Drosophila melanogaster: one gene and its partner. The protein of the gene in region 1 interacts with the protein of each later gene in a pairwise test. Each region holds a gene or a part of one and is shown on either strand. Other genes may lie near its edges.

The links.
Region 2: the proteins of CG13599 (region 1) and Gip interact in a two-hybrid assay, tested with the Drosophila melanogaster proteins (one large-scale study listed by BioGRID).

What each region holds. Positions count from the first base shown.
Region 1 is NT_033777.3:23,928,297-23,935,211, forward strand, and holds CG13599 (uncharacterized protein), read left to right. Parts: upstream 1-3,342; 5' UTR 3,343-3,416; coding exon 3,417-3,698; intron 3,699-3,759; coding exon 3,760-4,365; 3' UTR 4,366-4,432; downstream 4,433-6,915. Other genes in the region: CG43998 (uncharacterized protein), read right to left, coding at 1-10; CG43999 (uncharacterized protein), read right to left, coding at 68-257, 315-483, 541-682; CG31142 (uncharacterized protein), read left to right, coding at 1,027-1,116, 1,219-1,596; Rpt2 (regulatory particle triple-A ATPase 2), read right to left, coding at 1,650-2,966, 3,028-3,030; RpS19b (ribosomal protein S19b), read right to left, coding at 4,562-4,723, 4,794-5,099; CG5854 (uncharacterized protein), read left to right, coding at 5,731-5,764, 5,875-6,048, 6,268-6,636, 6,733-6,915.
Region 2 is NC_004354.4:10,326,739-10,333,347, forward strand, and holds Gip (GIP-like), read right to left. Parts: upstream 3,135-6,609; 5' UTR 3,025-3,134; coding exon 2,230-3,024; 3' UTR 2,139-2,229; downstream 1-2,138. Other genes in the region: CG2909 (uncharacterized protein), read left to right, coding at 1-56, 121-265, 328-1,334, 1,674-1,862; CG15306 (uncharacterized protein), read right to left, coding at 3,648-4,721. UniProt on the Drosophila melanogaster protein: Catalyzes the reversible isomerization between hydroxypyruvate and 2-hydroxy-3-oxopropanoate (also termed tartronate semialdehyde).

The DNA of each region.
Region 1 (6,915 bases):
CAATCACCATTGTGCGTTACATAAAATTTAGCACGAATATACTGGCGACTGAGATTTCCAGGCCAATTCAGTTACATTCCAAATCCCCTGTATTGCAATATGCCGTATAGGTTTCCCTACTTCCCAGCTTGCTCCTCAGCTGATTGATTTCCTTGGTCTGGCGGGCGACCTTGTTGGTGAGGTTACCAATTCTTTCCTCCAGCTTCTCCCGATGCATCTTGTGTTTTTCGTGCTTCAACCTGTCATTCTTGGCTTGCCTAAAAGCATATTTGAAATAAGCCAAGATTTCTTCAAGATAATCGAGGCTTGCATACCTTTTGAACTCGCCTACAATCAGCGTGGCGCCAATAATGAAGATGACCATTTCGCCCAGGATATCACCGCCCATTTGGATAGTCATCGCGTCAGTGAGGGGCGGAATTAGACGAGGTTGTCCAAGTCCCAGCATCCACATCTTGGAGCGCACATCAATTACGTGGTATACTGAACATTATACTGGTTATGATGATAACTGGTGGGCATTCCACGGATTGTACTCACATCTCGCCGGAGGAGCAACAACCAGGGTTTTGAATGACTTATTCTTTTTGGCCGTTTGCTTGATCAGATTGCCAATGGGCTTGCTAATGTGCTTAATGGCAAGTAAAGCTAGTTTCGCCAGTGGAAAGACGCCCACAACCATTGTGCAATTTCTAAGTTTCGACAGAATTCCCTAAGTGCCCTACAACCGAAAATTTTCAAATTTCATATAATCAGTTTTTCAAATTATTTCTAAACTCAATTTCTGAGTCGCAATAACTTTAAGTCTGTGGATATCCAAACCCAGCAATTTAAAACATGTACTCTTTTTAAACTTCTTGTTCTTATTTAATAACTAACAGATTCTTGAAAGATGTTTAGACAGTTTAGTTTATGAATCGGTAATATTTGGCATATAAAACCCGGTCACACCTGTTACTAAAACGCTGGTTTTGTTTGTTATTAAATCTTTACCTCTGCATGCTTTAATATTCTTCCTAAAAAATAATGTCGGCACTTGGGGATTCTGATGATGAAACTGAGTTTAAAGAGATCAGCTCGACTAATTATCATCGTGTGCAGGAAAAGGTGGCAAAGGTAAGTTTAAAATGAATTTGGCGTGGCCAGCTTTCATGATGAAATCAGCTGGCTTTACATTGCCGAGTAAACACGACTTCTAAATACCCTTTCCCTATCAAGATAAGCTATGCAGATGGCGTTGCCGATGGCAGGGAAAAGGTCTTCCAAGAGAGCTTCGATGAAGGCTTTGAGAATGGCTTTAAAACTGGATTCGAACTGGCCAAACTGAGTGCCTTCTATGAAACCATAAGCAATGCGGCGGGAGCTGAAAGCTCCGAATGGAATGCAGAACGAGAAGCTTATCAAAAACTCCAACTGGCAGATGCAACAAATAAAGCACACTTCACATATTTGGAGCATCAAGGCGCTCCACTCAACGTTATATCCGAAAAACAAAAGACCTACGTGGACGACCTCCTAGGAAAACTGGCACAGCAACTCCCGGCAACTACGAATTTATTCACATCGGGGAGCGATTCTAGTGTTAATGTGGTTTAATGCATGTGTTTGGGAATTATCAAAATTAACTTGAAAGTATATCTTCGCGCGACTTATAAATAAAGACCCTCGGGCGTGCCCTCCTTCTTCCGGTACAAGACGCTCTCCTTTGACTTCTTGAAGTCCTCGTTGGTCACCTTCATGCGGCGTTCCCGCAGCGCCATCAAGCCAGCCTCTGTACAGATGGCCTTGATGTCGGCGCCGGATAGATCGTCCTTTGCCATGATCAGTTCGCTAAGGTTCACGTCCTCGGCCAGCGTCATGCGAGATGTGTGGATGGTAAAGATGCGGCGCTTGGTCTTCTCATCGGGCAGCGGGAACTCGATCTTGCGGTCAATACGACCGGGTCGAATGAGCGCCGGGTCAAGGGTCTCGATACGATTGGTGGCCATGATCACCTTGACATCGCCGCGCGAATCGAAACCATCCAACTGATTCAGTAACTCCAACATAGTACGCTGAATCTCCCGCTCGCCACCAGAATTTGAATCGTAGCGCTTTGTGCCCACTGCATCGATTTCGTCGATGAACACAATGGATGGAGCGTGCTCCTCAGCCACACGGAAGAGCTCACGAACTAGCTTGGGTCCGTCGCCCAGGTACTTCTGGATCAGCTCTGAGCCTACAACGCGCAGGAAAGTGGCCGAGGTCTGGTTGGCCACTGCCTTGGCTAGCAGGGTCTTGCCCGTACCAGGAGGCCCATATAGGATGACGCCCTTGGGTGGCTTGATTCCCATTTCCTCGTAGTACTCGGGATGGGTCAGTGGCAGCTCAACAGACTCCTTGATCTCCTGGATCTGAGTGTCTAAGCCACCGATATCTGCGTAAGTCTCTTGCGGAGCCTTTTCCAGTTTCATCACCGTGACCATTGGATCGGTGTCGTCGCTGAGAACTCCGACTACAGCGTGTACTTTGTGGTTGAGCAGCACGGAGCAGCCTGGTTCCAGCTGATCCTTGTCCACGAAGGACAGGATGCTAACATAGTGCTCGGAGCCCACCGATGTGGACACGATGGCGTGGTTGTCGTCGATGATCTCCTCCAGGTTGCCCACGGACATGGGGGTGCCGCGCAGATCGTCAACCTTAGAGCGCTCCTCCTCGTTCTTCTCGTCCTGGGGCTTCAGGCGCTCCTGGTTGCGGATGAACTCGTCCTCCATCATCAGGTAATCCTTGATGCGCTCCAGCTTGAGCAGCTTAAGGCGGCAGCGGGTGTGGGGCGTGACCTGGGGCAGCTTCATGGCCGCATCTGGACCCTTTGCGCGCCTCTTCTTCTTGCCAACGCGCGTTGGGATTGGAGGCTCGTACTTCTTCTTTTTATCCTTGTCATCTTTCTTTTCGCCAGCTCCCCCTTGAGCCGATTGGTTTTGTCCCTGCAAATGTATTGTTCCCGATCGTAAATGAGTTCAGGGTGTTCTGAAGGTGCTATTTTACCATTTTGTCTTGGTGCTTGCTGCTTTGCCGAACGTTTGATGAACTTTTTACTCTTTATTGTCGGCAACAAAATTACTAGTCATTCGCGTTAGCTGTGTTGCCGTACTATGGAAACATGAAGGTCTGGCAACTCTAAGGGTGAACAAATATTTTAAAAAAACGTGAAAATTAAAATAGGCAAGAAATGCTTAAGCAATCGGATTAAAACAATAGTAATGATTAACAACCAAAATATAAATGAATTCAAGACTTGAAAAAAGCAAATTTTAAAAGTCACTGTTTTATATACTTATCGATTACTGTAAACAAACTGAATGTTTCAGTCTGGCAACGTTTGCAATTAGTGCGAAAAGAGCATTTGTTTAAATTTGTTATATTGCGACCTTTTAATGGATCAAAATGTCAAGAATGTTGATCTTAAACTGGATAACATTGAGGTTCTGACCAGTGGGACAACAGCGGAGTTCGTGAATGGCATCCTGGACTTCTTGCTCTATCAACGCCGGCAAATCCCCTTCGTGTACAAAACATACAAATATTATGTGGATAAATGGTCAGATGCTGATGAATCGGGAGAATCCAAGGATCAGGAGTCCTTTGCTCATTACCAACGCAACCAGCAGCGCTCTAAGGCAAAGGCCACCAAGGAATCTATTAGTGACATGAGAGAGGTGAGGTTCCCCTTACATCCAGGACTTCTTTTGGTCTTTACTTGCCAGTTCTCTCCTACAGATCATCCGACAAGCCTTCAGGAGCTCTGAAGTGAAGAGCCTGCGATTTCTTTTTGGCAACAATATGTTCATGCCCTCGGAGGCCTATACTCTGCACATACCACATGATTCCATATCCAGAGATCACTATTGCGAGCACCATGCTCTGCCCGAAGGTCGCATCAACCAGGCGCTGCTCCGCCTGCTCACCTGCGAGGAGCTGTACAGGCTATTCTCCACCGAACTAAAAGTCACCAACGTGTTTCTAGAAATGGAGCTCCTTACAGACTCCGATCGACCCCAAGGATCCCATTGTGACTCCTTTAATCTAATCCCAAAGCATATATTAAGCCAACTTCCGCGCAGCTGCAAGAACATACACCTGCATCTACTGCATTGCAGTGAAAACACACCGAATGAATTACGCTGCTGCAAGGAGATGGATATTTACCACGATCTTGGCGTGCGGAATCTGGATAAATCTGGGGAAGACGTTAGCCAGACCAACGAAGAGCATGACGTTTTGAAAGCAGCAAATGAAACCAGCGGTTGGTGGCAGGCCGAGGTCATAGTTCGCGGTTTCAGAGCTCCTGGCAACCAAAAATCGGGAGATTTGTGGTCTAGCTAACATTTTATAACTTGGATTCTTGCTATTCGGCGTGTTTGTGTCAAAAATAAAGTTTCGAATCGTTTATATTTCAAGTATTAAGTTATTTTATTATGTATATAATTGTTTAATTTTATTTTTGGTTTCGATTTATTGAGAATGTTTTGAAAACCCAAGGCACTCAAAGATGATCCATCGTGGTATTGGTATTATCATCTTAGGTAGTGATAATCATGGAAACTGGTGCACTGCGCTCTCGCTGCTTGGCCACAATCTTGTTGGCTATGCGATCCAAGTTACGTTGTCCTTGCGGAGTCAGCTTACGACCACCATCCGGGTGCCTCTCCACCATGTTAGCAGCTTCCAAGGCTTGAAGAGCCTGCTCATGTGTTAGATACATGCTAAGTAATATTAAATATAACCTTAAAGTACAACCATTTCCCACTCACCTTGCGAATACAGCCATCCGATGAGCGACAGTGCTTGGACGGACGAACACCGTTGCGCTTGCGCCCGCTATAGACCTTGGTGAAGGCCCCAACGCCGGCGGGACTGCGCAGGTACAGGTGTCTCATAATAGAGGCGCAGCGAGTGTAGAACCAGTCGTCGTCGGTAGGAGCAGTCTCCTTGAACTTGCCAGTCTTCATATAGACGGCCTGTTCGGGCACAAAAATTTTTCCGGATTTTTTGAGAAAAGCAGCCATGTTTTTGGTCAGAACGTGCTGATCGATTTCCTTTACTGTGACTCCAGGCATGTTGCTCTCTACGTTCTTGAAAGCACGTTTTTAAGGCTCATGGGTCCGATATATGTATGTATGTATTTAAAAAAGTCTTACCTTTTGAGAAGAAAAAGGTTTGCTTCCGGTTAGTTTGCTGACTTTAGTCAAAATGGACGATTGGCAAGTGACGTTTGAAAGAGGGACCAGGTCATTGACCCCAAAGGATTACTTTCCGATAGTTTTGTCGTGCAGTATTGGTGAACTTGGCAATTCTTTTCGAAAACTTAACCTATAAACTTGGAAAGGAACGCAATGTAGCAAAACTACTGTTCTTGGTGACAGGGGGTTTAAGGTAGACTAACAAGGACAATTTTATGACACTGAAGCCCTATGGAGTAAGAATCAAAGAACTGCTGTATTTTGGTTTGTATAAATGAATAAAACGTTCTACGCTAATTGAAGAGCATTCGAAGAGGTTTGAATACAGCGCCATAGGGTGACCAGCTTGTGGAGCATTGAAGGTATTTCTTGTTTTAAGAATGATCACGGGATGGTCACACTAGAAATACAGCCAAACAAAACAACAAAAAGCATTTCGAGCGCTAACAAATATATATCTTTCGACTTGACTCATTCGCATTCCGGTTGACCGTGTCGCGCCTGCAGCATGTCTGAAAAGCCGACTGTTCTGATTTTGGGTGGTAAGTGGTCCCGCTGCATCCTCCTCATCGTCATCCTGCCCCCGCTCCCCACTCCACACTTCCGCTTATCAGCATCGCTGACTGCATCGCTGCTCTTCCTCTTCCCGCAGGCTGCGGCTTCATTGGACGCAACTTGGCCACTTATCTGCTGGACAATGAACTGGCGCAGGAAATACGACTGGCCGATAAGACCCCTCCGCAGATGGCATGGCTAAACGAGGAGCAGACGCGGGTCTTCGAGAGCGATCGGGTGGAGTTCTGCAGCGCGAACCTAATAAACGCCGGTAGGTAATCACTACATTAGGGTGGCTCGTTCCACCAGGATGCGGATCACAACTCCTATGGAGATCCAAAATCCGCAATTAACATTCTTGTGAAAGGAAAGCGCTATCGGATATAGAATTTTCAAGTACCACCTTGGTATCGCTGCGCGTAACGAGCCACCCTAATGCATTTGTTGCACCTAAACTGGTTATAGAACGCTTCCCTTTGTTTTCATACAGCCTCATGCAAGGCGGCTTTTGCGCCACACCCCACCACTGGACGGGCCTGGGACATTGTCATCAATTGTGCGGCCGAGACGCGTGCCAACCAGGATGATGCCGTATACAAGGAGGGTATCCTGAAGCTCAGTTTGAACTGCGCCAATGAGGCGGCTAACCAGCGGGTCAAACGATACGTGGAACTCAGCTCTGGTTGTGTGAACAGCAGCGAAAAGACGCCGTTAAAAGAGGACTGCAAGACGGATCCCTGGACGGGCGTGGCCAAGCAGAAGCTCAAGGTGGAGAAGGAACTGGCCAACATCGACGATCTCAGTTACACGGTCGTCCGTTTGCCCGTGGTCTATGGCATTGGCGATAAGCGCTATTTGAGTGAGTGTCCCTCTTCGCTGATACCCGATAATTGATGTAATTGACAAAGCCCATGGGTTAATCCCGAACCCACCACCCATTGCCTTTCGTTTACAGTGCCGCGCATTATAATCGCTGCCATATACAAATACCTGAACGAGACAATGAAGCTGCTGTGGAACGATGCCATGCGTTTGAATACTGTGCACGTATCGGACGTGTGCGCTGCCGTTTGGCAATTGGCTCAGAGTCCCAAGACCGCCGGTCAGATCTACAACATCTGCGATGATTCAGCATCGA
Region 2 (6,609 bases), on another chromosome or scaffold:
GAGGATACGAAAATTTGGGCAATGTGATTAAATTGTCCGCGGAGTTTCCGCTGGAGGTATTACACTTGGGTGACCCCCCAGCCAACGTCGACTTACCCTTCCACTTTCTTCTTCTTGTAGTTCGGCGTGAACAGTGTCAAAGTATACCGGCAATCTCCATCGCGGCTTGCCCGGATAAATGAGGAAGTGGCATCCGCCTATCCATTGATACACGAACGTACATTGGGCCTCTACTTGCAGTACTTGGAGCACAAGTGTCGTTGGGGTAAGCAATTCTCTTGCCTAAATAGCCTTCTCAACTGATCGACTTGCCGCATTTCACCACAGGCAACGCGGTGGAAAAGCCCATCTACCGGAATTTATCGCTATGCGGATTTGTGCAACGTCTGCTGGTAAAGCGTTGCGCCAGCTTCTTTGCGCGGAACGACAAGTACCTGCTGGTGAGCGGAGAGTCCGGGGCCAGTGGCTTCGAAGCCGTGGGTACTCGGGAGGAGAAGGCGCCTCTGGTGCTGGCCAACGTGCTCAGCTATGACGATATCAAGCTCTCCGCTCTGCTTTCCGTGAGCTCCCGCACGGAGTTTGTCAATGAGGGCGAACGAACCAATTGCGGTCACGTTGATCTGAACACGAAAACTTTGGAACGTCACGGGGTTATTGTGGGCATGATTGGAGCCCGTCTGTCGCGACGTAATCTAATGGAGTTCCAGGACATTGTAATCGCACGTCAGCAGAATACGCGTGAAAGGGGCTACGGAATGGCATTGGATGAGCCGGCTACCACGCGTGATGAGGACTATCGACGACTGTGGCGCGAGTTCTATGCCACACGGGATCTCATCCACGGCCAGGCAGTCATTGACAATCAGCGTTTCGGACCATCGAAAAACAAGATGGACGTGTTCGACAATCTGGTGATGAAGCGGCGTTACGCCATCAGCTTCGACATGCTGCTGCTGGAGGCAGAGGCAAGGGCAAAACGCGTGAAAAAGCTGGCGTACATCCATGTGGTGGGCTTCGGCTTGGGCGTGTGGAAGGCAGCAGAACAGCAGGAGCGCATCTTCATGGAGACCTTCGAGCAGCGTATGCGCACGCTGGGCAACAGGCTCAATAACGTTGGCCTCGTGCACTTCTCCTGGTTTTCGATCACACATTGCGGCGGTCTAAGCAACGGATCGCTGATAGAGATTCCCGGGCATCCAAAGGATGGCATCAGGGTGCTCATTTCCAAGCGCAATCCAGCACGAAAATTGAGTGATCCTGAGCACGCCGGAATGCTGCTGGTAGTCTCTTACGCTTGGGATGGAAACGCCCTGCCGGGTAATGAATTCTGGATGGTAAGTACATAGATTGACAGTGCCCTCCTAGCCACAAATGTTGATATTAAGTGGTGAAACAATATATTTATATTCTGTGGTTTGGCCAACTGTGTGTTCTAGTTTTCCACTAATGCCCTTTATATTAAATAATAAGAACATTATCAATTTAATGAGGGCATGCATTATCAGCTTAGTAAGTGTTTATAATTGTGTTAAGTGCAATTATAAAGATAATTCAATTTAGTGATCATTAAACCAATGGAAAGTAACTTGACATTAAAGTAGTTGTAGTTCTTCCTTTGATCTTAACATTTTCTTCTTTCTAATTTCACATATTATAAACTTCATTCGTTTTAGAAAATGCTGCAGTCCACAGGTGACTCCTCGACGGCCTGCTCCACGTTGGTGGCCGAGCTGCACAATCCGTACATAAACACGAAATTCTGCAATGGAGGCAACCTGCACATCGCCTCACCGGAGCACGGGGTGCTCCACATAGCCGAATATGCCAAGCGGGTGATTCGGAGCGAGAGTGACGCCTTATGAGATACGTGAATCTGCCTGTTATCTAATCTTATCTAATCGTAGCTACTGTTTTATTCCACACTTGCTGTAGGTCAATTCCATGACCTTTTGACAGACGCATGACAATTCCAAAAAAAAAGGGAAAAAAAAGGATTTTATATTGTAATCGATTTTATAAAACGACCATTTTAAACCAAAACCAACCAATTGATTGAATTGAACCAACCAATTGAAGCTTTAAAAAGCCATGAAAATGCCTCGAAAACGAGAGAAATATGTAATAGAATTAAGTATTTTGGTTAAACCATCTTTATGTTTGTAAGCAGTGTAAATACATGTGTATAAATGCAGAGCAGTTCCTTATGCCAAACTATATGTGATGTGATAATTATAGCGTGTAGCCCAATTTGGAGACCCAACCCAAACCCTCGACAGTGGTCGTCTTCGGCTTGTACTCGCAACCGATCCATCCATCATAGCCGAATTCCTGGAGAGCCTTGAACACAAATCCGTAGTCCAGCTCACCGGAAACATCCGGCTCGTGGCGATGCGGCACCTGGGCGATCTGAAAGTGTCCAATCAGCGCCTTGTACTCCTCGAGCGTCTTGGAAACGTTGCCGTGCAAATGCTGCAGGTGATACAGATCGGCCAGCAATTGAATGTTGTCCGCAGCCACATCGGCCAGAATTCCAGCGGCTTTGGAGTATGAATTCATGTAGTAGCCAGGCACGGCGTACTTGTTAATTGGCTCTATCACGCCGATCATTTTACTGGCTCTAAGGCTATCGGCGGCGATCTTTAGATTGGCGGTATACGTCTTCGTGTAGTCACTCTCCTGGCCGCCCTTGAAGAGTCCAGCGGTTAGATGAATCTTGCCACAGTTAACCTGTCGGGCGAAATCAATGGTGGCATCCAATTGGCTACGGAACAGCTTTTCCGAGCCGGGCACACTGGTGGAGCCGAAACGCAGCTGATCGTCGCTCTTGTCGAAGGCCAGATTCACCAGACTGACCACCACACCCGTCTCCTTTACGGCGGACACCACGTCGCTCGTCTCGCCTTCGGGATAGGGGATCTCTACCGCACGGAATCCGTTCTGGTGGGCCAGACGAATTCGCTCCGCGATCGACGTCGCTCTTTCCGTGAACAAAAAGTTCAGATTCGCTGCAAACTTGAGTGCCATCTTCCGTTCACTAATCTCCGCCTGCGTTCACGCTTGGCAAACAACTGGGGGGGAACGATGCGATTACCCGTTTTTTATATTATATCTACCGACTTTTGATACTGCCAATGTCATATGGAGCAGGAGCTTTTCCGACCAAAGCTTTGCGTGATATATGTACATACATACGTAGGTTTTAAGTTATTTAGCTGGCATCAGAACCATTATTTAGAATTAGTATATTATTTAATTTAGTTCGTCGTTAGTTAAATAAAATACTAGTTCTAACACTCGTAGCGTTAATATTTTTAATATTATTATTATTATTTAGTATTATTATTTAATATAAAACCTGTGTGAAAAGCATTGACTCCACCTAGCGGACATTAAGGGAACCATTAAATAAGACGCATGTTTTGGGTCAACATTTTAATTTTCAATTTCCAAACCATGAAATACAAAAGCAGTGGAGAAAATGTGAATTTGGTTTAAAGAGTTCAAAACTGTTAATTTTGAAAAGCAGGCAGCCTTCGTCTTCACATCCTTACTCCTTCGAGGCTACCGTGTGCTTTGACTAGTTCTTTTGAGAGTTTTGAGTTGACAATGAGCTTGGCCAGGAATTAAAAACCGACGACGTCACGATATCAGTGGTCTCTTTGGAGCACCATGTGAATGTCCTGGCTATCCTCGTACTGGCTATCCTCGTCTTCGCTATCCTTGCCGTGGCTATCCTCGTACTGGCAACCCTGGTCACGGCTATCCTTGTACTGGCTATCCATGCCGTGGCTATCCTCGTACTGGCTACCCTGGTCACGGCAATCCTTGTACTGGCTATCCTTGCCGTGGCTATCCTCGTACTGGCTATCCTGGTCACGGCTATCCTTGTACTGGCTATCCATGCCGGGGCTATCCTCGTACTGGCTATCCTGGTCACGGCTATCCTCGTACTGGCTATCCATGCCGTGGCTATCCTCGTACTGGCTACCCTGGTCACGGCAATCCTTGTACTGGCTATCCTTGCCGTGGCTATCCTCGTACTGGCTATCCTGGTCACGGCAATCCTTGTACTGGCTATCCATGCCGGGGCTATCCTCGTACTGGCTACCCTGGTCACGGCTATCCTCGTCCTTTTTATCCGTGTGCTGGCTATCCTCGTCCTGGTTAGCTTTGCCCGTGCAAAGGCTACTGTTAATCGTCGCCTGGCAAGTCGCAACTTTACCTCGTATAGCTGTCGTCTTCACCTTCACCAAGCGAAAACGATCTTTGGTTGTCAATTTTGAGGATCCGATACCGATGTTCTGATGGTCACGAGCTACCAGTGCATCGTAGCCAGCGCATTTATCCTTAGTGTGATTGACATTGAAAAAGTGTCGGAACCACACGGCAAATTTAAAATTTTCTACCCTGTGGCCCTTGATCAAATCATTGACCTCAGCTGGTAGGCTTACATTTACCTTATTGAAGGCTTTTTGAAGTTCCTTGAAATTGTTAACGTACTCGTATTCTTGATTCGAAAAAAACTTAACTCGCTTCAAATTGATCAGTTTGGGATAAAGCATATGCATCAAATTACAATAGGCTGCACCGGTGCACAACTGTTCGATATTGATTAGGTTGCATTGGAGCGTCTCGTTGAACCAATCGAGAATATCGCCACGGGACCACTGAACCAACGAATTATGCGTGACGGTCACATTGTGGGCCCTCGAAGTAGCCATCGCAAGCGAATTCTCTATGTGTCTACAAGCTACTTAAAAATACATTAGCGATGTCTTACTTGGTCATTCAACAATCACTTACCCAAAGAAAGTTGTACAGGAGCACGTATGGTTTGCCTTGTTCGATTAGTTTTTTCGCAAGAAAGTTGCTTTTGGAAAATTTTGGAAAAATGTAAAATATCATGCAGCGCGCGTAAGCCAAAGTGAATACAAAGTTGACCTTTTCGTTTTACCAAAATATTTTGAAAATGTATATTGGAAATGTGTAGTTCTGTTGCTTTGTTTTTACGAAATTGTATGTACAAATTGTTTAACAATCGGGGTATATATTATTTGTGTGTTATGTTCACATATCAAATGCTCACATTGGACTAAGGTTTTGTCCAGTCTAAAGTTATGACACAAATGAAAATTCATTTCATGGCCTACATGATTTGAAAATTTTTCGGCACTTTTTCATGGCCTGCCCATCAGATTTTACTGTCTAGCCATGTTTGTTCGTAACCGTCGTATTGTCCTTTTGTCCTTCCGTCTAAACGGTCAAGATATTACGAAATGGTTACATTTATATATACACATTTATATACTAATTAGCATTTATATATATATTCAAGTGAAGCGTCTAGGTCTTTGACTAAATTTCACATTCATTGAGATTCACCAAAGTCCTACACATTTTATACATCCGTTTAAGTTGCTCTACGTTTCTCTACATAATTTCTACATTCTTCTACGTTCTTTCAGTACTTTCGACGTCCTTCAACATCGTTCTATACGCGCCTTCTATGTTTTTCTATGTTCATTTACCATTTATTAACTACATTAAAATAAATCAAGAATATTAACTAAAACTAGTAGTAAACCCGTCGAATTATTGGCTATTATTGGCTACAATTTAAGAAAGAAACTAACATTCAAAACTAACTGGCAATCTAATAACAATTCGATATGCACATATGTACATATTTGCCAAAAAGCTGAACAAGGATTAGGGAAATTGAATTGGTTTGTCTAACCAAACGGATTCGGATGACCCCATGTGGGCAATTTAAATACTGGACTTTTTGGAGTATATATACAATACAATACATATGTACATGCAATCCAAAACAGACATGTCACTGCCATCGTGTGGCACTGTTTTGTGCGAAATAATAATAGTGCAAATAAATTGCACAAATATCCTATTGTTTTAGCTTGACAACCCATTTTCGTTTCTATCTCTATCTATATTTATATTTCTATTTCTATTTCTATTTTTGTTCCCGGAAATGCGGCACTCGTCGTCCCAAATGCATTTCCCATACGGCTGCGTTCCATCGACAAAGGCAATTAAATTTGTAAAATTTTCGCAACGAGTGGAAAGTGCAATGTGCAATGTGCAATGTGCGATGTGCGATGTGCAACCTGTGTGACCTCATTGATTAGCCAGATGCTGTTGTTTCTGCATTTGGTCTTTATATTTAAAATTGATTGCATTCAGCATAGAAATTGGCACTACAAGCACTACAAGGCTGGCACATTTGCAGATAGATGACTTAAGTTAATGGAATGCTAACAATTAAAAAGGAAAATGTGTTTCACAAAAATGCCATAAATCAAGTGTATGCTATGCATTTTAATCACCAAGTTGCATAAATTAGTAAGTTAAGTGATTATGTTGTTCAAACAATAAAATGTTAGTTAAAAACATAAGATACATATTTAAAGAGGTGTTCAAAAGTATGCTTCACAAATTCCCAGCATATCTTTGGGCACTTCTTATTCGCAGTTTTTTGAATAACCTGTTGTTGATTTCTTCGTTTTCATTTCGTATTTGCACATATCATACAAATTACAAATTAAATTGGGTCAAAGTCATTTGAAATTCGTGAGCGGACAATCCGAA